Linked DNA regions of Elephas maximus indicus. The protein of the gene in region 2 interacts with the protein of the main gene of each other region in a biochemical or structural test. Links are inferred from orthologs where the notes say so. Each region holds a gene or a part of one and is shown on either strand. Other genes may lie near its edges.

Region 1 (7,610 bases), on a different chromosome or scaffold from region 2:
CATCTCCATCACTCCATCATCACCTCCTTGAAGGGGCCCACCCTATCAACCCCTCTGCTCTCCAGGGGCCCACAGGGAGAATGTAGTCTACTTCACAAAAGCCACAAATTCCCCAAACATCATCATCTTTTTTTTTTTTTTTTTGAATATTGAAGAGAAAGAAGAGGGGAAGAGGAGGAAAAAGACCAGTTTGGATCCTTGAGCAGATAACTGAACCTGTCTGTGCTTCAGTTACCACAAAAAAGAAATAATCATTGTGCCTACCCTCATAAATTGTTGTGAATTTAAATAAGATACAATATGTGAAGCACTTACTCCAGAATCTGGTTCAAAAGCGAGTAATAAAGAGACTGCTATTAATTATAATAATTATGTTGTTAGGGATACATAATATTACTGGTCAGATGCCATGTGCTTAGAAGGGGAAAATAAAAATCAGACTAACCCACCCTTGGAGCCCTGGTGGTGCAGTGGTTAAGCTCTTGGCTGTTAACTGAAAGGTCAATGGTTCAACCCCATCAGCTGCTCCTAGATTACAGCCTTGGAAACCCTAGGGGGCAGTTTTACTCTCTTATATAGGGTTGCTATGAGTCAGGTTTGGTTTTTGATAACACACGCTTGGGACTAACCAAATATACTCAACTGTCCTGGTGCATGAAAGCAAACTGGCCAGCACCTGTGTTGACACACCTCATATATACACACGTAACATACTCACTGCCTTTTCTAAGCCCTACCTGACTCTTAAGGCCAGGTCAGGCTTTATTCCTCCCAAAAGTCAGTCTTCACTGTCCACCAAAATATCTTCGCCCTTTCGCACCTCATTGCCCAGGCACCATGGTGCCCTCTGGTAAAGGGGCCCTGAGACATTCTCAACAATCAGCTAGAATGTGAAATACTGAGGACAGGGTTGGAGCATCCTGTCCCCACATCTCTTAACGTGTTCCCTGGTGCCCAGCCCAAGGCTGGACAAAACATTAAATAGAGACTGCCTGAGTAACGGCCGACCGTCTGCAACATCAGGCAGATGTGTCCTTTCTGACCCAACAGGAAGCTCTAAACAACAGAGAAAGGCCTCCGAAAAGCAAATATGTTTAATCAATCAAACGGCAGTTTCTCTGGGGAAAAGGCTGCCCACTGTTAGAACAACTTCCAAAGTTCAAAAAAAAATCTTTAAGACAGCAGTGTGATTGCTGCAGGTTCTTCACGTGGCCAAAGACTGGAGGAATAAACTCAGTGATGCCTCAGGGGAACTGTGGGTGATTTCTCTTTTTAAAAAGTGCTTCCTTCATTGTTATGATATTCGCCCAATCAACCAATATCATGAGGGAGGAGAAAGTCCACTGATGATAAGCAAGCAACAGAAACAGGGAAATCAGAGGAGAAACCAACCCCTTCCCTCTATCCTGCCCCTGGGCAACAGTGAAGTGAAACAAACTCCAGAATCCAGGTGATCACAATGATAAAGCCTAGAAGTACACTGGGCGTTTGTATGCATTTTCATCCCCTGAGTCAGAGCTAACAAACTTTTTTTAAATACCATTATTTCATAGGGGAATAGCACCTGTATCAAAATGTTCTCATCCCCAGAGCAAAAGCCACAGCCCTGGCAACCAAAAAGGTTCCACAGTCACCACAGAGATGGTTGCAGAACTATGCGTGGGAATCAGATCCTAGTTCCAGTATCTGTTCCCCTGACCCTGGGCAAGTGAACTGCACCCTCCCCCCCGAGCTTCGGTTTGTTCATCTGTAAAACGGGAATATTGCCCACCTTTCTCTAAAGTGCCCAGGACTTAAGACACACTGAAGGCTCTTATTAGTGCCTTCCCCCTTTTACAACATAGGTAAACAGACAGGGCGTCGTCCTTCAAACACTTAGTAAAAGTTTAAATCCTTAAATCTGTGCACATTCAAAAGGATATCTTTTGAGCCAAGAGGGGGGTTCGCCCAGGAGAGCCAAGGCGTAGGTATGCAATTTCTCCGTCCCCCCACGGGCGGCGTGCCCTCACCTCTGCCCAGGACGTGACCTCTCTCCAAGTGCCGCCGGGTAACCGTGAACACGTAGCTCTCCGCCCCAAAGCCAGGACGGCAGGGCTCCGGCTCCTCACAGAGCCACGCCGAAACCTGCAGTGAGGGAAAGGTATGTAACCGGGGTGACTTGGGGGGGAGGGTTGCCTCCTGCTCACACTGAAATCCTCCCTCGCTTGCGGCATCGGGACTGAGGGAGGAACGCCCCACTACCCCAGAAGACAGCGGCGTCACCCTCTGCCACCTCGAAACCCGCAGCCGCCAAGCCCCCCAAGGAACTTCGCGGGAGGGAGCTTCTGGGTCACCTCCTCATGACTAAGCCCCCCTTTCCTTTCTGTCTTCTTTTTCATTTCACTGGTAGTGTCTTTACAGTTCACGATTCCGTTTTCTCATACCGAAACGCCCCCGCCTTAATCTAATTCCTCACAGAGGGGCTGCCCAACCCCTTCGGACCTCACTTTCCCTATCCCGGGGACGCCCCCATTTCTACTTACATGGGAGGTGTCTTGATTTCTATGGAAGCCCTTTTCCTCACTTCGTTCCCACTACTGGCTTCTCCTGTACTGACAACGGGGCTTCCCTTTCCCGACTGACTCCACGTCCCCACTGCCCGGTCCAAGTCCACACCTCGACCAACACAGAGCCCCCCGAGCCTACGGCGAGGTGCGCCCCCCACTCGGGTATTTGCGGCCGGGGGCGGGCTCAGCCGCGCGCCGCTTTACCCCTCCCACTCAGGGGAGCGCGCCGCAGCTTCCAGGCCGTTCTCGCCCTTCGGACCCAAACTTTCTCTGAAGGAGGAGCGGGGACAGTGCGAGAGAAGAGGGGACGCAGAGCCGAGGCGCGGAGCGTGGGGCCAGAATGCTTTCTCTGAAGTCAGGTGAGCCGACGTACCTGTAGCAGCAGCAGGAGTGCGAAGAGGCTGCAGCACCGAGGGCCCATGGCGGCCCGGACCGGGGCTGAGGGAGGCGGGGGTCTGGTTGGGCCGGGCTAGAGCCTGGCAAGACTTCCGTGAACTCACAGGTGCTCTTGGACTCCGGACGCCACTGAGCAGAGCAGCGCTGCGGCCACCAGGTGAGTCCCGAGGGTGCCGCCCCCAGCGCCACTGATTGGCTGAGGATGCACCTGCCCTGGCCGCAGCCTATAGGCGGCGTGGCTCGGCCCGCAGCTTCCTCCGCAGGGCGGGGGGCGGGCGGCTCGCCCACGGCCCCGCCCTGCGGCCCCGAAACGACCCGGTGATAAGCTGAGGAGAGGTTTGTAGGGCCTAGGTGGAGCGTTGGGGCTGCATGATTCCGATTCTCACTGGGTTCAAATCCTAGCCCTACCAGGGCTAAGACAGGGGTCAGAAAGGACCCCTTGGGTTCTTAAAGGCACACCACAGCCACCACCAACCACTATCTGGAGAATTCTGTCCACAGTAAAATGACCTAGTTATGTCTTTTTAACTGCAGATCTCCATCGATTAGTGAGTCATCGGATTGATTCACAGGGTCAGGACCACCTCTCACCTGAAGCCTCACCTTCTACACCATCCAAATGGAAATAATAAGTACAAACACCTGACTGTGTTGTTGTGGGGTTCCCATACAATTAATAAGGCCAATGTTTCCTGCACCATAAAAGCTCTGTACAGGTGTGAGGGGTAATAATACTAGCACTAGGTGCTGGGCACTGAATGTTACTGTCCCAGGCTCTGTGCTGAGCATTTGAATTGACCATTCACTTAATCTCATCTCAATACAAACCAAGTGCTGTATCATTGTTCCCATTTGATAGATGGGGCAAACGAGGCTTAAAGAGATTGAGGCCAATAGGCAGTGGCAGAGAACTGGCACCTACCTCCCTCTGATTCCAGGGCCCTTGCTTTTAACTATTATGCTTCACCTCGTGTGGCTTCCCACCCTCTCCCACCCCCCAAGTCTTCCAGCTGGAGCTGCAGGTTTCAATCTGTCCTTTAATTTTGACATGGAAAAGACCTTTTAGAGTTCACCCAAACCTGTTATTTGCAAGCAACTTGCTCAACATCACACGGCAAGTCAATGTCAAAGCTGAGACTAGAACCCAAGATCTCCTGATCCCCAACTGGGGTTCTTAAAGCCACACCAAACCCACCACCACAGCCTTCTCTGAAGCATCTGTCCCCAGTAAAATGATTTTAAGATCAAGAAAAGAATAGCCAGGCAAACATTAGGTCAGACACCTTCCCTTTCCTATGGCCAGCCATGTCTGTGCAGTTTGGCTCCCCCATCCCACCAACTGCTCACTGGCTGTGTGACCTTGGCCCAGGCAGTGTTCTCATCTATATATCCAAACCTTTGGCCATCAAGTTGATTCTAACTCATAACAAACCCTACAGGACAGGGTAGAACTGCCTTATAGGGTTTCCAAGGCTGTCATCTTTACGGAAGCAAACTGCCAGATCTTTCTCCTTCGTAGCCACTTGTGGGTTTGAACTGCCCACCTTTCAGTTAGCCACCGAGCCCATAGCCACTGCGCCACCAGGGCTCCCTTCTTATTTGTATAAATGGATTGAAATGAGTTAATATAAGAAAATCTCTAAGCAGAGTACTTGGCACATAATAGTAACTGCTCAATAAATGTTTGATGTGGAGGTTGTTCTCTAGCAAGGGTCACTCCCCTCTTTCCCTTCCTCACTGGGAAGGCCACATTTGGAATACTGTATTTCACCCAGAGCGAAAGGTGAATCTAAACCTATTGAGGGTAGTTCTCCGAGAACTCCAGAGGAGTGGCACCATTTCCAGTCTGCCCAGGCCACCCTTGGTCCCCTCTGTTTTAATGGGTTTCTGAGCACACACCCAGGCCATTTGGATATCTACATCTTGGCTCTCTGCCTTTTTACCTGCCAGGAGGCTTGGAGGAGAAGCCTTCGGTGTTTCCTTTCCCACTGAGGCTCCTGCTGGACTGTGCATTAAACAAGATAATGGAAATACAGAAACAGGCGTTTCCCCCATGGGGCAGCCTTGCCACTTTGTGGTTTTTTTTTTTTTTCTTCTCCCAGTTATGTAAAAATATATATTTTATACCATCGCTCAGCCCAGGGAGCCTTTAGGGCTTTGCTTTCTTCTTCCCCGCAAGCCCTGGCCTTATAATTCTGAAGTGACTCTCATTGACTCTTCCATTACACTCTGATAATTCAATAAAAAAGATTTTAGAAAACAATTAAGAGCAGCGAGGACAGGTTGGGATGATGCACACTTCAGACTTCTCGGCAGGTCTTTGAAGCTCCAGGGAGTGAGTCCCGATGGGCGGTCCCCTTCAGCTGTCCAGGGTAAGGAGGGAACACAAAGCGGTTCCCTGTGGAGGTGGGGTGATTTGTGACTTTTGGCAACACAGTGAATTGCCTCAGCTTCCCCTTGTATCAAAGAAGCATATTAATTAACTCCATGTTAAGATCAAATGAGCCAGGGTAGGTGAGCCAACGAGTTATGATGTGAGTAGCCTTGGGTCTCAGGTTGGCCAGACCAGAAAACCAAGCCTGTTGCCAATTCAGGCTCGTGACCACCCTGTGTGTTACAGAGTAGAACTGAGCTCCATAGTTTTCTTGGCTGTAATCTTCCGCTGTGCCGTGGGGTGGGTTCCAACTGCCAAAATTTGTACCAAACCAAAAACCCAAACCCACTGCCGTGAAGTAGATTCCAACTCATAGCGACCCTATAGGACAGAGTAGAACTGCCCCACACGGTTCCCCAGGAGTGCCTGGTGAATCCAAACTGCTGACCTTTTGGTTAGCAGCTGTGGCTCTTAACCACCAGGGTTTCCAACTTTTGTAGGGAAGATTCAAGTTCTGGCTTTGCCACTAGCTAGATTGGATAAGCCATTTTATCTTTCAAAGTCTAGGCTTCCTCATCCCTAAAACGGGAATGTTGTTGGAGCATAATTCACAAGGTTATTATAAGCACTCTGTAAAAGTTAGCTATTAGCATCTTTGCCCAATACATTTCCTTCTAGATTCTAGGGAAAATTGTGAGGCCCCTTGAGAGTTCCCCACACCTAGGCTCTTCTACACCCACCCACCCATACCTCCTCCACCCCAGCCATTAAAACCTCTTAGGCTATCTTTTGTATCTGCTGGGGGAAATTCTTTTTAGGCTGGATGGCTGGTCATTTTGACCCTCCCAGGGTCATTTGCATTTTAAAGAAGGTTCTAAAGAATGACCTTGCTTCTTTCAAATGAATGAAAGCTTTTGGCTCTACTAAACTCTGTTAATCTGGTGTCTTGAATGGGTTTCTAGGGGGGTCTGTGAATAACTGGAGATTGTGTGCAAACCTGTAGGTGCAGGTAGCAAGACCCATAACTTTCATTAGCCTCACGGCTGGGGGAGAACAAATCCAAATCTAAAGCTTGGAATCTCTGAGTGCTAATGTGGAATTACAGGCTTTGACAGAAAAAAGGAATGTTGACTAGAGGCCTCCACTGTTCCCTTGAGATCTCTCCAGGTAGGTGATAAACCCCAGCCTTCCTCACTGCAGTGTGTGTCTCTGGCGGATTTTCATTTCCTGGGTGTCCGGGCCCTGCAGAGAGGCTAGTGATTAGTTCCCAAGGCAAGCCTGTCCCTTTCATCTCCGTGTGGCCTGGCCTACCAGGTAGTAATAATGGTGCTCAGACTGGGAGGGGCGACCTCCCTTGGCCTCTGCTGAGAGGAGCCCAGCCCCCAGCTGGCTGGGGATGAATCCCCAGGGAAATTTGAACTGCTAGGGATTACAGCCAGGCCAGCCTTCGCAACAGAGTTGGGAGAGCAGGCTCCATTCTTAGCTGTTCCTGGGGGCTTCTGACACCCCTCCCAGTCTTGCCAGGCTAACCACCAGCACGCAGAAGGGAACTAGACACCCTTGCTACAGCCTGCTGTTATAATGCTGGTAACTTTGCAGCCCAGCCACACAGTAATGCAGTAAACATTTTTATTTCAAATATAACAAAAGTAAATAGTATAATGTATACTGTATATAGTATAATGAAGCCCCATTACCCAGCTTCAAGAATCATTTTTTTTTTTAATTTTTGTAACTTGTAAACTTTCTGATTATACCAAAACTTGTCTCATTTCACCAACCCTGCTTTTTTAATTTTTGCAGATTTTAAAGCAAAATCCCAGGGTACCTGTCATTTCCCCTGAAAATATTTCATATACATCTCTGAGAAAGACTTTCTTTTTTTTTTTTACATAATGATTAAGGTATGAAACATCACAAAGCAAAAAGAAACTTTTATTTGGCATATATTCAAAAAAGGCAAAAGTGGGAAATGGACAAGCATGCTGCCAGAACCATGTCTGCCTGAATCCAAGAAAATTACAGAATAGACAAAAGAAGGAAAATGGACAAGCATGCTGCTACAGCCATGTCAGCTGGACTCCAAGGAAATACTACAGAATAAGCAAGAATGGGAAAACGGACAAGCATGCTACCAGAGCCATGTCCACCCGAGTCCAAGGAAACTTCAGTGTATATTAACATTACAAGTGGGCAAAGACTTTGAATGCTTCACCTTTTCACAGATTGGCAAGAAACTGTGATCCTACATTTTGAATTGTCTTTCTTAATCATTGGTACAGGTTTCAGTATGG
Region 2 (7,317 bases):
ACTCTTAAGGAAACCTCAGGTACTCTGGCATGCTGAAAAGACTACGCATGCTACACGTTTCATGTTATGTCCCTAAGGTAAATACTAAAGCAATAGCCTCAAGTCTCTTACCCTTAGACATAAGAAGCTAAGGTGAATGACTTTTACAGATCAGTTTCCCAACTAGCTCTAGCTAAATTGAAAAAATTAGAGCCTCAGAATGCAGTTCATTAAACTTTCAGCAAAGCTTATTTAGATAGCCTTCCTTCCTTCACAGGGATAGATACATGTACATACCTGAAAAAAAGTTCTTGGTTTTTGAGGCTAAGTGTTTAATTATCTTCTTAGCTACTTTCTTTGAAGTGCTACATTTTATTTCTGCTTCACATCTGTATATATTCCAATGCTACAGGTTTATTTAGTGGCCACATTAGAGGTACCTAAAATTGGAGCAGGGTATATGCCTCCTCAAGTATATCACCAAGGCTGTCATTTTCTTCAGCAAAATGATACCATTCATCCAAGATATGATTTTTCTTTCGTAACAACATTTTGAATTTTAGGACATAAGAGTTGTTGAAAAAAGTCAAACCCTAAAAAGTTTCCTAAAGAACTTTCCAGAGGCACACCAGAACAGGAGTTACGATTCTGTTTAACTCTAGTATTAGTAATGTAGTGCTCTAATTAATGTCACACTAACATGGTATACCTACAGAAACTAGGTGACCAAAAAAAAAAAAAATTTTTTTTTTTTCAAGAGAACATTCTGTTTCAGACAATAAATTCTAGACAGAGAAGGCTTTAACTCGTAAGCAAAATCTTTGGCCCAACCAGCTACTACTTAATCCCATTAACAAAGGAGGGCAGTATAAAAGAGCAATTAAAAACATAGGCTCCTAAGAAATATCTAGAATAGACAAAGGCATAGAGACCAAAGTTTATTAATGGTCTTTTTTTTTTACTAGGGGTAGGAGGGAGAGGGAAGGGGAGTCAGGGGGAACTGAATTTCTCTTCAGGATGATGGAAAAATTTGTATATGGATAGTGGCAATGGTTGCACAACATGAAGAAAGTAACTAATGTCATTAAATTGTACATGTAAAAAATGTTGAAACAGCAAAGATTTTTTTTATTGTGCTTTAAGTGAAAGTTCACAAATCAAGTCAGTCTCTCATACAAAAATTTATATACACTTTCCTATATACTCCTAATTGCTCTCCCCCTAATGAGACAGCACACTCCTTCCCTCCACTCTCTTTTAGCGTCCACTTGGCCAGCTTCTGACCCCCTCCTGCCCTCTCATCTCCCCTCCAGACAGAAAATGCCAACATAGTCTCATCTGTCTACTTGATCCAAGAAGCTCATTCTTCACTAGTATCATTTTCTATCCAATTGTTCAATCCAATCCCTGTCTGAAGAGTTGGCTTTGGGAATGGTTCCTGTCTTGGGCTTACAGAAGGTCTGGGGACCATGACCACCAGGGTGCTTCTAGTCTCAGTCAGACCATTAAGTCTGGTCTTTTTAATGGCAAAGATTTTTTATATATACTTTTACTACACACATACAAAAAAAGTATAGGTTTCTAAAGCTAGACAGCCTGGGTTTGAATCCCATTTGTGCCACTTATTAGTAGTGTGATTTTGGAAAAGATACTTATAACCTCTGTAAGCCATTGTCTAAAAAAGTTGATGGAAGAGTAACTTCAGAGTGTATGTCAAGATTACATGAATTAATGCATGTTAACCTACCTCATGCTAAAAAAAGCATGCTAAGCACTAAATAAATGTTACTATTACTACTATGTATTCAAATGAGGGGAGAGAAACAACCAAGAGACTCTAAAACAGGTAAGAATGAGTTTACCAAAATAGGCTCAGGCGAAAGCTTTTCTTCCTTAACAGGCTCACGTTCTAGCTCAGGCTCTGGCTCAGGCTCATGCAAAGGTGTCTTGTCCAGTGGTTTGGGCAGTTTTTTGGCAATAACTTTTCCAGCAGCTGAAGTTTTTGCTTCCTGTAGATGGAAGGGAGAGAATGGAATGTTTCTCTGTCAAGAGCCACAGGTGAACTCTTAAAAGAGAAGTTGGGTCAGGAAGATAGTTACCTTTTTCAGGGGCATTTTGGCTTGTGGCTGTTCACTGACTTTGTTACCAATGTCTCCAAGAGCTATTCTTGGCCTCAGCCCGGGCTTGGGGGCTGCAGCAGTGGCCATAGGCACTCGCTTGGCGCCTGCCATACTGGTTTTCGGCTTAAGTTCAGCATTAATTCTCGTGTTCTGCAAGAAGGAAGACCATTTTAGAGTTTAGCCAGGCTGGAGTAAGTCAAAAGTTAATTAAGGTGGGGCACAAGAGAGGCTCTCGGGAGGAAAGCCGGCTGGAAATGGGCTCGGAGGGGAAACCTGGGCACCAGGGTCTACTCGATGTCTGTGGCAAGCCATTTCCCTTCCTGAATCTCTTCATTTACTTGAATTGAACTTCGGTGAAGGCCCAGCTAGCTCTAAAATGCTGTCAATTTACATTCAAAAGAAACGAAAGCCTCCAATTGCTGGCACCTTCCTTCTAGGACGGAGATTACACGGTTGGTGGGGGCTCACCCTGGGGCTCTACCTCGTCTTAAAAAGAAAAAAGGTTTCCTATCGACCCTCCCCCCTCTCTAAACACTTATCCAAGGCCCTTTCAGTTCTTTTTGTCACTTTTCCGTCCGTCTGCCTTTCCTTCCCCAACCCCCGCCCCGACCCACTATGTAAGGAGTTCACCTCGGCACACACCGGGCGACACCTCCCCCCCCATCCTCTTCCCCAAATCGCCACCCGGGTCATCTCCGGTCGGGAGGTTCTGCAGACGAAAAAGGGCGACAGGGCACGCAGCAAGGAAGGTCGCGTTTGTTCTCGGTTCGCAGCAACTCACCCTGGTGACTCGAAGTGCCATGGCTTCCTCTTCACCAGGCAGCAATTCACAGGGAGGAAAGAGAACTCGGGAGCCCCAGACAAGCCAGGGCCAAAAGCTACCACCAAGCAACAGCCGTTCCTGCGCAGCAAGCCGGGAGGAGCCGGGTCGGCTTCGGGTTTAAACCCCGCATCGCTCCCTCCTTATTGGCTTGTTCGTGGCACTCACTCCCCTCTCATTGGCGGGTGCAGGTTCCTCCGGTAATGCGTTTCCAAGGGCGATCCCGCGACGACGTTCGAAAAGGAGGCGGGGCCACAGCGAGGCTGCGGCCCAAGGGCGCGGGGCCGAGGCCTCACGTGGTGTAGCGCCGCGGCATCTGCCACCTGGAAGGGCGAGCGGTGTGCTCCACTGAGCCAGGCAAGGAGAAGGCCTGGTGGTCTCCGAAAAGTGACGGTGGAGTGGGCCGCAGTTTTGGAAGCGTGAAAGGCAGCTGCGGCTCTATTCCTACTTATTGTTACACACTTTCCACTTCTACGTTGGTATGTAGCAGCAATGTCTTACAGTTCATGAAGGGCTTTAATATTTAATATGCATTCTTTCATTTGATCATTCCAGTTAGCCCTCCAGAGTGGAGGAACTGAAGCTCAGAGAGGCTTAGGTGACTTTCCGAGTAACACAAATTAGCCATGCGGGGACTGAACTCACGTTTTTTGGATTCGTGATTTTTGCACAGCATTGTCCCTTAAGAATAATGGCAGTTTCTTAACCTGCCAAAAAGCCAAATTATTTCCCAAAGCCAATTCTTTTTAGATTTTACTTGGAAATAATTTCGAACTTAGAAGAGTTGCAGACATAAAAAATTACAGCTAACACTCGTATATCTTTTACCCAGATTCAACTATCGTTAACATTTTACCCCATTAGCTTTGATTTTTCTCAGTCTTTTTTTCTCTGTAAAGATATATTTTATAAACATATATATTTAATTATATAAACCAAAAAACCAAACCCAGTGCCGTCGAGTCGATTCCAACTCATAGTGACCCTTATAGGACAGAGTAGAACTGCCCCATAAAGTTCCAAGGAGCGCCTGGTGGATTCGAACTGCCAACCCTTTGGTTAGCAGCCGTAACACTTAACCACTACACCACCGGGGTTTCCATTTAATTATATATGTATTTATATATACAGTAGATACATACGTATGTGCGTATATTATATGTATAGGCCCTGGTGTCTGCGTTAAACGTTTGGCTGCTAACCAAAAAGTTGGCAGTTTGAATTCACCAACCACTCCTTGGGAACCCTGTAGGGCAGTTCTGCTCTGTCCTGTAGGGTAACTATGAGTTGAAATCCACTGGATGGCAACAGATTTTTTTTTTTAGTATATGTGTGTGTGTGTGTATATATATATTCGCGGAGGCAGAAATAAACATGTATATAATTTGAGGGCAATGGGTTTAGTTTCTTTTTTTAGTGCAACTTAATATATGTTTCATTTCCCCCCTCCCCCCATCTGAAACATTTGAGGGTGGGTTATATACATCATGATCCTTTACCCCTAAATTCTTCAGTGAGTATTTTCTAAGAAATTTGCATTATTTTAATATTTAATTCACTCTAGTTTGTATTCCAGTTGACCTAATAATGTTCGTAAAGCATTTCCCTGATGCAGTACAGGATCTCGTCTAGGATCAGATGTTGGATTTAGTTATCCCATCTCTTTGGCCCCCTTTCATCTGGAGTAGTTCCCAGTGCTTTGATCTTTTATGACATGAACATTTTTTAAATATGCAGTACCCCTCACTTTTTCTTTTTATTAAATAGCACCTTCTCATTTTTGTGTCTGATGGTTCCTTGTGATTTAAATTGGGGTTGGTCATAGAATGCATAGGTGATTTTTTTTTTTTTTAGATGATGTTAATTTTGATCACTTGGTCAAAATTGGTGGTCTCTCCACTATATTATTACTGTAGATTTTTTTCTCCTTTGGAACTAATTAAGTGTTTGTGGGGAGACACTTTAAGATCATGCAAAATACTCTTTCACTTTCTGCCTAGATTTCACAACCATTGGTATATCTTGCCTGATCCCATCTTTATCATGATGACTGCAAAATGACTATTTTCCAACTCCAGCAGTCTCGCCAAATTTACCATTTAGCCCTCAGCATTCAACTGTGAGAAGCCTCCCTTCTCCCTTATTTATTTATTTGTATAGTAATTAGTTATTCTGGATTCATGAATTGATTTTTTCAATGGCTTATAATTTATTATTGTACTCAGGGGCAGATGACCCAGTAAGCAGGGTAAGCACAAGCTTACTTGTACTCACTTACTAATCTGTAGTGAACAATTTCACATGGGTTCACATGTAGTGAAATTGTTCACTACAACGTGCTTACCTTGCTTACTGGGTTATCTGCCCCTAGCCAGGGATTGTACATTAGACAAGAAGCTTTGATTCTGTAGGAAGGGACTGTGGGCTTGGGAGAGAGACAGATGCTGGCTATACCTAGAAGCAGAATCTTTGATGTGATGAAAAAATATAAATTGTTCACTACAGATGATCTGGTAAGCAAAGTAAGCACCATGCTTACCTTGCCTATTGGATAATCTGCCCTTACCCTGAAATGTCCTTTGAAATTAATGTACCCTGGAACAGACAGACAGCACAGCACAGTGATAGTGACAAGAACTTACAACTTGTGTCAGAGAAGCACAAGTCCTCAGAAATGGGAACTTCAACAGATGACTTCTAGAAAGACATTTATTTGGTCTTGGGGGCCTTGGGCTTACCTAGATGTGTCTTTAGGTTGTAGGGGGAATCCTTTCTGTGGCTGTTTTACATTAAAGGTGGAGATTGATTGCCAGGTTTGAAGTAGGTAATTATACTCCAGCCCTTCTTGAGGGAAGCTCTTTCAGTTCTACAGAGAGCAACCTTTTCAGTTGGTCACAAAATCTCTTTTAATTTTCAAAAGTGTTTTTTTTTCTTTTATGCTGCCTTGTACCATGCTTCTGGGTCATTTTAAGAAAAGCAAAAATGGATCCTTCACTACAGGAAGGACTAATATTCGTAACAATTATGTTGTGTGTTTATTTCTGACAAGTCTTTTTGATATTGCTTTCCCCAAATTCAGTCCCCATATTTGGAATTATGAAATGGTTAAGATGTCTTTTACACTAAAATGTCTTTGGGATTTCCAGGGTTTCCTTTGTATTTCCAGGTAAATACAAATAATAACTCCTTTATCTTATAAAAGAAGTAATAAAAATAAATAGATTTGTTTGGCATTCTTTAGATTTTGATTACCTCAAAACTTGTTTGAGAGCTCTTCTATTTATCAGACCCAGGATATAAAAACAATGGACAAATCAAAAGATTACATATTTTTATATCTATATATCTACATGGCTACATATCTATATATGTATTTCTAGGAGCCAGTGGTTAAGCACTTGGCTCTAACTTAAAGGTTTGAACCCACCAGCCGCTCTTTGGGAGAAGAGACCTGGTGATGTGCTTCCATAAAGATTTCAGCCTAGGAAACCCTATGGGGCAATTCTGCTCTGTCCTATAGGGTCGCTGTGAGTTGGTATCAACTGAACACATTTTGTTACTAATATGTTTCAGTGAATATATACTTTGAGGTTGAGAAGAAGCATACTCATACTGATTTATAAAAATTGATATATTATCAATTGATTTGTTTTAAGGAAAATTTTTGTTTCCAAGATTAAATAATTTTGTCAATTGACGATAATCATAATATACTTTGTGGTGCAAATTAAAGGAACTAAAGATTTGTCAATGCTGTCATTGTTGGTCCACGATATGTTTTTATTCCACGGTGACTATTGACAAAGTTGTTATAAATCATTATGTATTATACTTGAACAGAGGAGCCTACCTTCGTCCATTCTAGTATTGTTGTAATAAATTAACCAGAGCCCATTACAGTTCATTTTCCTTTTTTTTTCCACTTTTTTATTATGGTGAAAGTATATATAACAAAACATTTGCCAATTCAACAATTTTTATATGTACAATTCAGTGACATTAATTACGTTCATCATGTAGTGCAACCATTACCACTGTCCTTCTCCAGATTATTCCAGTACCATTAGCGGAAACTCAGTGCCCTCTGTCTTAGTCACCTAGTGCTGCTATAACAGAAATACCACAAGTGGATGGCTTTAACAAAGAGAAATTTATTTTCTCCCAGCCTAGTAGGCTAGAAGTCCAAATTCAGGGCGTCAGCTCCAGGGGAAGGGTTTCTCTGTCAGCTCTGGAAGAAGGTCCTTGTCATCAATCTTTCCCTGGACTAGGAGCTTCTCCATGCAGAAACCCTGGGTCCAAAAGATGTACTCTGCTCCTGTCACTGCTTTCTTGGTGGTATGAGATCCCCAACCCTGTGGTTGCTTTCTTTTCCTTTTATCTCTTGTAAGACAAAAGGTT
Region 3 (7,491 bases), on a different chromosome or scaffold from region 2:
TAAAAGCAAACAAATAAAACACAGCTTCTGCAAAAGCAAAGTGCACCAGACAGCTTCTAAAAGGGCTCCCAGCAATCCCTGCCTGCTGCTATTCCCAGCCTTGTGTAATCCTCTCCTCTCTGAGTGTGGACTGGACGTGACTTGCTTCTAATGAACAGAATATGGTAAAAGTGATGGGATGTCACTTCTGAGATTAGATTACAGATTAGGTTCTGGCTTCTGTCTTACTCTATGGCTTGCTCTGATGAAGCCAATCACAGTGTTGTAAACTCTCCCCATGGAGAAGCCCAAGTAGCAAGGCACTGAAGGAGGCCTTCAGCCAACGATCAGCGTGGAAGTGAAACCCTCAGCCATGAGGAAATGAGTTCTGGCAGCAACCAAGCGAGCGAGCTTGGGAGTGGATCCTTCCCGAGGAAAATCTTCAGATGACTGCAGCACTGGCTGACACTTTGACTGCAGCCTATGACAGACCCTGAGCCCTATGGTTCAGCTAAGCCAAGCCTGGATTCCTGATCCACAGAAATTGTGAGATAATGTGTGTTGTTTTAAGCCACTAAGTTTTAGAGTAATTTTTTTTTTACACAGAATAGATAACTAATACACAAAGGAAAATCCAGAAAGACAAGAAATGTACACAGTTAAAAAAAAAAAAAAAACAACTATCAGGTTTGGGTACCAAGAGTCCTAGGATATAATCCTGGCTCTGCTATTTGTTAGTAGGTTGATCTTGGGCAAGTCGCATGACCTAACTGTCATCTCCCCTGTAAAATGAGGATAATGCTAATACCTATTTTCATAGGTTTAAGGTGAAGATCAAATGTCACAATATATGTGAAAACGCACTATATATGAAAGTTGTTATTTCTTCTCCTCTCAGGCTTTTAGGTTCTCCTTCTATAAAAATAAAGGTTAGATAATCTCAGATGTCACTTTGAGGGATAACATTTTATGATACTGATTTTTGGTAAAATTTTTTTTACCAAGTTTTGATTCTTAATTTTAAAACATCAGAGTAAGTGGTGTAATACCCTGGAGGAATAACAATTCCAGGAGCAGGCAGGAAGCTCAACTTAACGTGAAGTCAAAAAGGATATGGAACTCCACAACAACAACAACAAAAATAAATTGTAATTTAAAAAAAAGATATAGAAAATGTTTCCACTCTGCTAAAGAAGGCTTCTTTGCTTGTAGATTCCAACGGAGGTTGTTCTGCCTGGGGTGATCCATTAACTGACTGCAAGGTGACAGATGTGTCCTTCCTAAAGTAAAGTGACAGACAGAACTGTTAGTAGTAATCCTTTTATGGTACCACTCTGCCCAAGAATTTTTTATCTGGCTTCTCTCGACATTATACTATCAACCACATCAACAGTGGATCTTAACATTCCTGAAAATCTTTTTAGTTATGCTACTCCTCAGATTAATATTTTCTATGGTTTTATACTATTTGCTAAATAAAATTCAAATATTTCAGTATGGCATTCAAAACTGTTTACAGGTTGGCCATACCTAACTTTCCAGCAGTTCCTACCTCTGGAGTGCTCCACTAATCCTGTACTAACAAACTGTTCTCCTACCTCACTCTTCCCAACAGTGTTTTGCATAACTTTAGTAAACGCAAAATGAGACTCCAGGTGACAGTCATGCATTATACAATTTGTACTGCCTTAGATATCAACTCTTTTAACAGCAGAAAAAAACAATTTTCTTATTTCTACCTGAATCAGCCCCTGATACACACCCCTACCCTCCCGCCAAAAAAACCTCAAATCAGAGTAAACATCTTTAGGAGATTTCATGAAAGAATTTCAGAGAAAAAGATCAGCAAAACAATTTTCTCATTTCTAGTGAAAGACATTTCAATGGCAATGGGCTGGGGGGGGGGGAGGATGCTGAAAGACAAGAGTCATTTTAAGAAAAGCACATTAGACCAACACCTATTATATGCAAAAAAAACATATATATGTATTTTTTACTCTAAGAACCTTTCTCAGACTCAGAGAGAGCCTCAGGAAAGCGTGTGGTTCTTGGAAAAAAATCAAAGGATGCATAAATTTAAATGGGATTGTGGTGGTGCAATGGTTAAGAGCTTGGTTGCTAACCAAAAGGTCAGCAGTTCAAATCCACCAGCCGCTCCTTGGAAACCTCATGGGGCAGTTCTACTCTGTCTTATAGGGCCACTATGAGTCGGAATCCGCTCAACCGCAACTAGTTTAACTGAAATTTAGCATTCCTTTCAATTACGAATGAAAGTAAACGTCAGAAGTATTAGCAGGACCTATTAATTTGTCATCAATAGAAATCAGATTTTTCTCATCACATTATGGTTGCTGCGCATGTTTTAAAACAGCGTTTATGTGCATCACTACGAAATTATGGGAAATAACAGACGGGCTGGGTTAACAGACCGACTGGTAGGTATTACTTAATTTTTTAATAAAGAAGCATGTTACTGTAGCTCTTCTTTTACTGTCTTCATAACTGCATTCCAACGTCATTGACTTCCTTTAAAATTCTGTGTATCTTACTTTATGCCTTTAAAAAACATTCCGAGAAGGGGTTCATAAGCCTCACCAGAGTGCCAAAGGGGTCCGTGGCACAAAAAAAGGGTAAAGAACCCCTAAATAAGAGAAGTTAGGCGCGCACATTCAGTTAGCGGTTCTCTTTCTTTCTTTCTGTCCTCCAAATAACTGTCTATGGCAAAATTCCACCCCTCGTGCGGGGTCCGGTGGGGAGAAAAAAAAGCTAAGTGTAGCAACCCCAGTCCCTTTCCGATCCGGGAAAACGCCGTCCCAACGCCAGAGGCGCGGACCAGGGCGACCCCCGAGGCCTATGTTCCCCAATCTCTCTCCAACCTGCCGGCCCCAGTCCCAGAGTTGACTCGCGAACTCACGCATCCGCTCCTCCCTCTTCTGGGGCAATCCCCTCATCTATCAGCTGCCGGATTTTCTGGGGGGTCCCTTCGGGGGAGCGAACAACCGCACCCCAATTCTTTTCCACCCCCGCGACAAAAGTTAGCCCCTCGGTGGGCGCCGCCATCTTGGTCCGTTGCCGAGTTGCTTCCCCGCCGGTTTGAACGCTCAGGAACTTCCGTTCTCGACGGTTAAGATCCGCCTCTGACACGGTTGCCAACGCGAACCAGCAGTCTGACTGTAGACCCATCCCTTCCGTTTTAGAAGGGAGGGCTAAGTAAAGTACTACTTTCATGAACGAGCATATCTGGGCTGACAGCGGATTTATACAGCGATATGCTCCAAATTCAGATGGGATGAAGTCCAACTTTAAAGTAATTAATATTAATATTTAGTATTAACTAAAGTAATTCATTCCCAAATTACTTTTTTTTTTTTCAAACGAGTAAATACGAACCCTCGCTTGAGAGCAAAAAGAGTGGTTGCATTTAGAACCTGTGGCATTTGACACTATTGAACACTCCCTTTTTTGTTCTACAAATATCGAGTGTGTCCTGCTGTTGGTGCGGGAGCCCTGGTGGCTCAGTGGTTAAGAGTTATGTATGGCTGCTAACCAAAAGGTAGGAAGTTGGAATCTGCCAGCTGTTCCTTGGAAACCCTTTGGGGCAATTAATTTTTTTTTTTTTTATAGGGTTGTAGTGAGTCGGAATGACCCCACAGCAAAGGTTTTGGTTTAACTAATGTGCTAGACGCTGCACTGGGTGTTGGCAACGACAGCAGTGAACAAAGGATACATAGTTCTTAGTGGACATCAAGCAAATAGATTTTCCTTTGGTTTTTAAATTATGATTATGTAAGTGCTATGAAGAAGACTTAGTGACGGTATAATTGGAGGACCTAATTTAGTTTTTGGATTGAGAAAGTGGTGCCAGAGCCGAGATGGATGAGACTGCAGGGAAGACATCTGCACAGAATTTTCCAAAGCCTCAGGCTGGAAGGAGTTTGTCTCTCATAATCAACTGAAAAAGAAGACTGCTGGAACTGCGCAGTGTGCAAAAGGAAAAGTGGGACCACCTCCTGCCCTTCTTAGCCTCCTCCCGGTCTCCAACAAAGTTCCGACTCACCAGGACCTGTCATCTACTGACCGTACCACCTTACCACTGTCCCTAACACCACCCCCCAACCCTTTGTTTCTTCTTTCATCATAACCAGTTGTCATGGAGCTGGTTTTGACTCAGGGTGACCCCATGTGTGTCAGAGTGGAAATGTGCTCCTTAGGGTTTTCAATGGCTGATTTTTCAGAGGTATATTGCCAGACCTTTCTTCCAAGGCACCTCTCGGTGGACGCCGACCTCTGGATTAGCAGCCAAGCAAGTTAACTGTTTGCACCCCCTAGGGACTCTTCAGCCATCTTAAATTCATTACCAATTATTATCATCATTCCTTTGCAAAATCTGAATGTAGATTGAGAATTAATGTTAAGGAATTGTTACCCATATAGCTATCGGGCTAAAATTGGTACTATTAAAAACTTTACGTATTATTATCATTGTATCATCCATTCCCACTAATTAAGAAGCAGTTCTTCAGAATCTGCTTTGTGTAGTAAATATCTTAATTCATATTGTACTTTATTGTTTGCATCTATTTATCACAATTCTTTGTTGTTATTGTTAGATGCCAGCGAGTCAATTCCAACTCATAGCGACCCTATAGGACAGAGTAGAACTGCCCCATAAGGTTTCCTAAGCTGGTGGGTTTGAACTGCCAAACTTTTGGTGAGCAACTGAGGGTTTAATCACTGCACCACCAGGGCTCCTTCGCAACTCCAGAGGCGGTATATCAATTACAATTGTATTGGCTTCAGGTAACAAACCCAATTTAACCTAAGCAAGAAGGGGAATTTTGTAGATAGCATTTCTTAAAATTAAGTAATGTTCATTTCACCTTTTTATTTTCTTCATACTGTTTTAAAAGGGAAAATAAGCCCCCTCCTCAATGTTGACAAGTTTTTTTAAATCAATACATTACTTAAGTGCATAAAGTATTTGTCAACTCCTTGTGCTTATACCCCCCTCCCCCCCAGAAAAAAAAAAAAAAAAACCTAACCTGTTGCTGTCAAGTCAATTCTGACTCATAGCGACCCTATAGGCCAGAGTAGAACTGCCCCATAGGGTTTCCAAAGAGCCCCTGGTGAATTCAAACTGCCGACCTTTTGGTTGGCAGCTGTAGCTCTTAACTACTATGCCACCAGGGTTTCCCTTATGCTTGTAAAAATCTTAAAATCAGAACAAAAATTTTAAATCAAACAACTATAAACTCAAAGCAACTCACAATAACGACATTAATTTACTGTGATGAATGATACTGCTTTGCTGAAATAAAATCACCAATGTTGAAGAAAAGTAGAAAAATATAGCCTCAGTTCAGGTTCTCTGTTTAATCCACTTCTGTGATTTAACTTTCAGTAATATTAATGCACGCAGAAAATGCCTGTTTACATAAGCGTGCCGTACCAAAAACACAAAATGGTTTTAATAATTTCAACACCTTGTTTATTAGTTCAGGATTATTGGACCTAATACTTCACAAAAACTTTACCAGGAAGCATTTCTCTAATGTCATTTGATACCTTCATAAAACTGTCTTGTTCGCTTGCAGTTAAGTTAGTGTTATTTAAATCTGCATTAAGGGAGAATCTGAACAAATTATTGCTGCAATTGGGAACAGGAAGTAATATCTGGACTTTGAGTTCTATTATCAGAGATGTTGAAAAAATCTTATAGTTTGAGTGCAGAGCTTTCTAGCTGATTGTCAAAGGAAATCAGTACTCAGATGACTCATTCACACCATTTAGAAAATGATGGGCCGTTAGTCAGTTTTCTTTTCCAACTTCCACTTTTCATTGGGCTTGTAACATTAGAGGCACTGTGGAATTTGCTTTTGGACTGTCTGCTATGATGTCACGCAGCCTTCATCTGGTACAAGTTTGCCCCTTCTCATTAGCCTGCAACAATTAAAGTAATACATATATTACTCCATTGGAGTCTGTCATTTTCATGATGTCAACAAAAAACTAAAGTTATTAAATAATGTAAAAAAGCAAAGTTTAATTATACTCCAGTCTTTCAGTTATAAAGCACCACTACAAGAGTTTTGTCTTCATAATGGATGTTTATAAACCCATGTGGCTTATTGCCTAAACAATATTGCATTGAAATCAGAGCCTAAACAGGATTTCCAACCTTTAGTCATATTGCTCTCAAACACATACTATCGTGTGACTTGATAGACCTTCCCTGTAGCCGGCAGGAGATATTTGGGAGGAGGTCTTTTCCCTGAGGCTGCTGCATATAGGTAGGTTCACCCATGATGGTGGACAGACTTCAGTGCAGTAAAACTTGTGAAAGCCAGAACTCGTGTAAGGCAGAAACCTGTCAGAAAAGGAAAACTGAGATACTTTTTGATAAAAGCGATAGAAAAGTGGTAAGACTGCACCGTGAACGGCAGAAAACTTGAGACCCCTCGAAAAAAGGCAGTCTGGGAGAGTTCTGGCTCTCACAGATATCACTGTATAAATCCTCAACCCAAGTCACTGAAGCTGCAGTGATTTCTGAAAACATTAATCTGATTGTGTACCATCTCTGCTTAAACCCTTCAATGGCTCCTTGTTCTATTAGGATTCAATCTAAACTCCTCGATGAGGCTTACCTTTCCAGTCATCTCAAGCCCAATTGTTTAACTCCTTCCCCCCTCTACCAAACAATCTCCGTTTTACCTTTGTATAGCAAAAGCCCAGGGTTGTTTTTTCCAAACCCCAAAAGGAAATTAAGACCTTCACTTCCAAAGCGACACAAAAACATGGACGCTTTGAGATTAGCTTTTTTAGAGAGGGGATCGTGGGAGCAAACACAGTCCCTGGGTGGGCAGTTGGAACTCACCCAGCAGCACCTGGCAACCTGCTTTGGTAATGCAAACAGCCAAGAAAACCCCATGGTGCAGTTCTATTTTTTAACACATGGGGTCACCACGAACCATAATTCACTGGCAGCAGTGGGTTTGGTATGGGCTCGGGGAGCAAGGATTTGCCTTCAAAAATTCACCAGGTCTCCTACACAGCTTCTTCCCTCCTTCCGGGATTATTTTGAAGCAAATCCTAGACAGCATGAAATTTCATTTATGAACATTTCACTATACCTCTCGAAAAGAGAAGAATACCTTAAAAAAAAAAAAAGGCATCCACGATCCCTAAAAAAAAAATAATTCCTGAATATAATTCAATATTCAGTCCAATTTCTCATTAAAAAAAAAGGAGTTGGTACGTTCCAATCAAGGTGTCAATAAGGTCAAACATTGTATTTGGCTAGTATGTGTCTTGTTGTGTACCATCGAGTAGATTCAGAGTCAGTGACCCCTTGAGTCAAAATAGAACTGCCCCATAGGGTTTTTTAGGCTGTAATTTTTTTTTTTTTTTTAACTTTGTCTGAGCATATCGCCAGACCTTTCTCCTGGTGCAGCTGGGTGGTTATGAACTACCAACCTTTCTGTTTAGCAGCCAAGAGCTTAACAGGTTGCACCA

Evidence for each region.
Region 1: of the proteins of CCNB1 (region 2) and CDH1, one has a biochemical effect on the other in vitro, tested with the Homo sapiens proteins (3 studies listed by BioGRID). The link is inferred for Elephas maximus indicus from reciprocal best matches to the Homo sapiens genes CCNB1 and CDH1.
Region 3: of the proteins of CCNB1 (region 2) and ZC3HC1, one has a biochemical effect on the other in vitro, tested with the Homo sapiens proteins (3 studies listed by BioGRID, with this or other methods). The link is inferred for Elephas maximus indicus from reciprocal best matches to the Homo sapiens genes CCNB1 and ZC3HC1.

Annotation. Positions count from the first base shown.
Region 1 is NC_064839.1:35,054,454-35,062,063, reverse strand, and holds the start of CDH1 (cadherin-1), read right to left. Parts: upstream 3,086-7,610; 5' UTR 2,968-3,085; coding exon 2,920-2,967; intron 2,906-2,919; exon of another isoform or gene 2,125-2,905; coding exon 2,010-2,124; intron 1-2,009.
Region 2 is NC_064820.1:74,619,573-74,626,889, reverse strand, and holds the start of CCNB1 (G2/mitotic-specific cyclin-B1), read right to left. Parts: upstream 3,082-7,317; 5' UTR 2,902-3,081; coding exon 2,881-2,901; intron 2,250-2,880; coding exon 2,079-2,249; intron 1,989-2,078; coding exon 1,842-1,988; intron 1-1,841. UniProt on the Homo sapiens protein: Essential for the control of the cell cycle at the G2/M (mitosis) transition.
Region 3 is NC_064826.1:20,160,721-20,168,211, reverse strand, and holds the start of ZC3HC1 (zinc finger C3HC-type protein 1), read right to left. Parts: upstream 3,086-7,491; 5' UTR 3,040-3,085; coding exon 2,894-3,039; intron 1,260-2,893; coding exon 1,148-1,259; intron 1-1,147. UniProt on the Homo sapiens protein: Required for proper positioning of a substantial amount of TPR at the nuclear basket (NB) through interaction with TPR.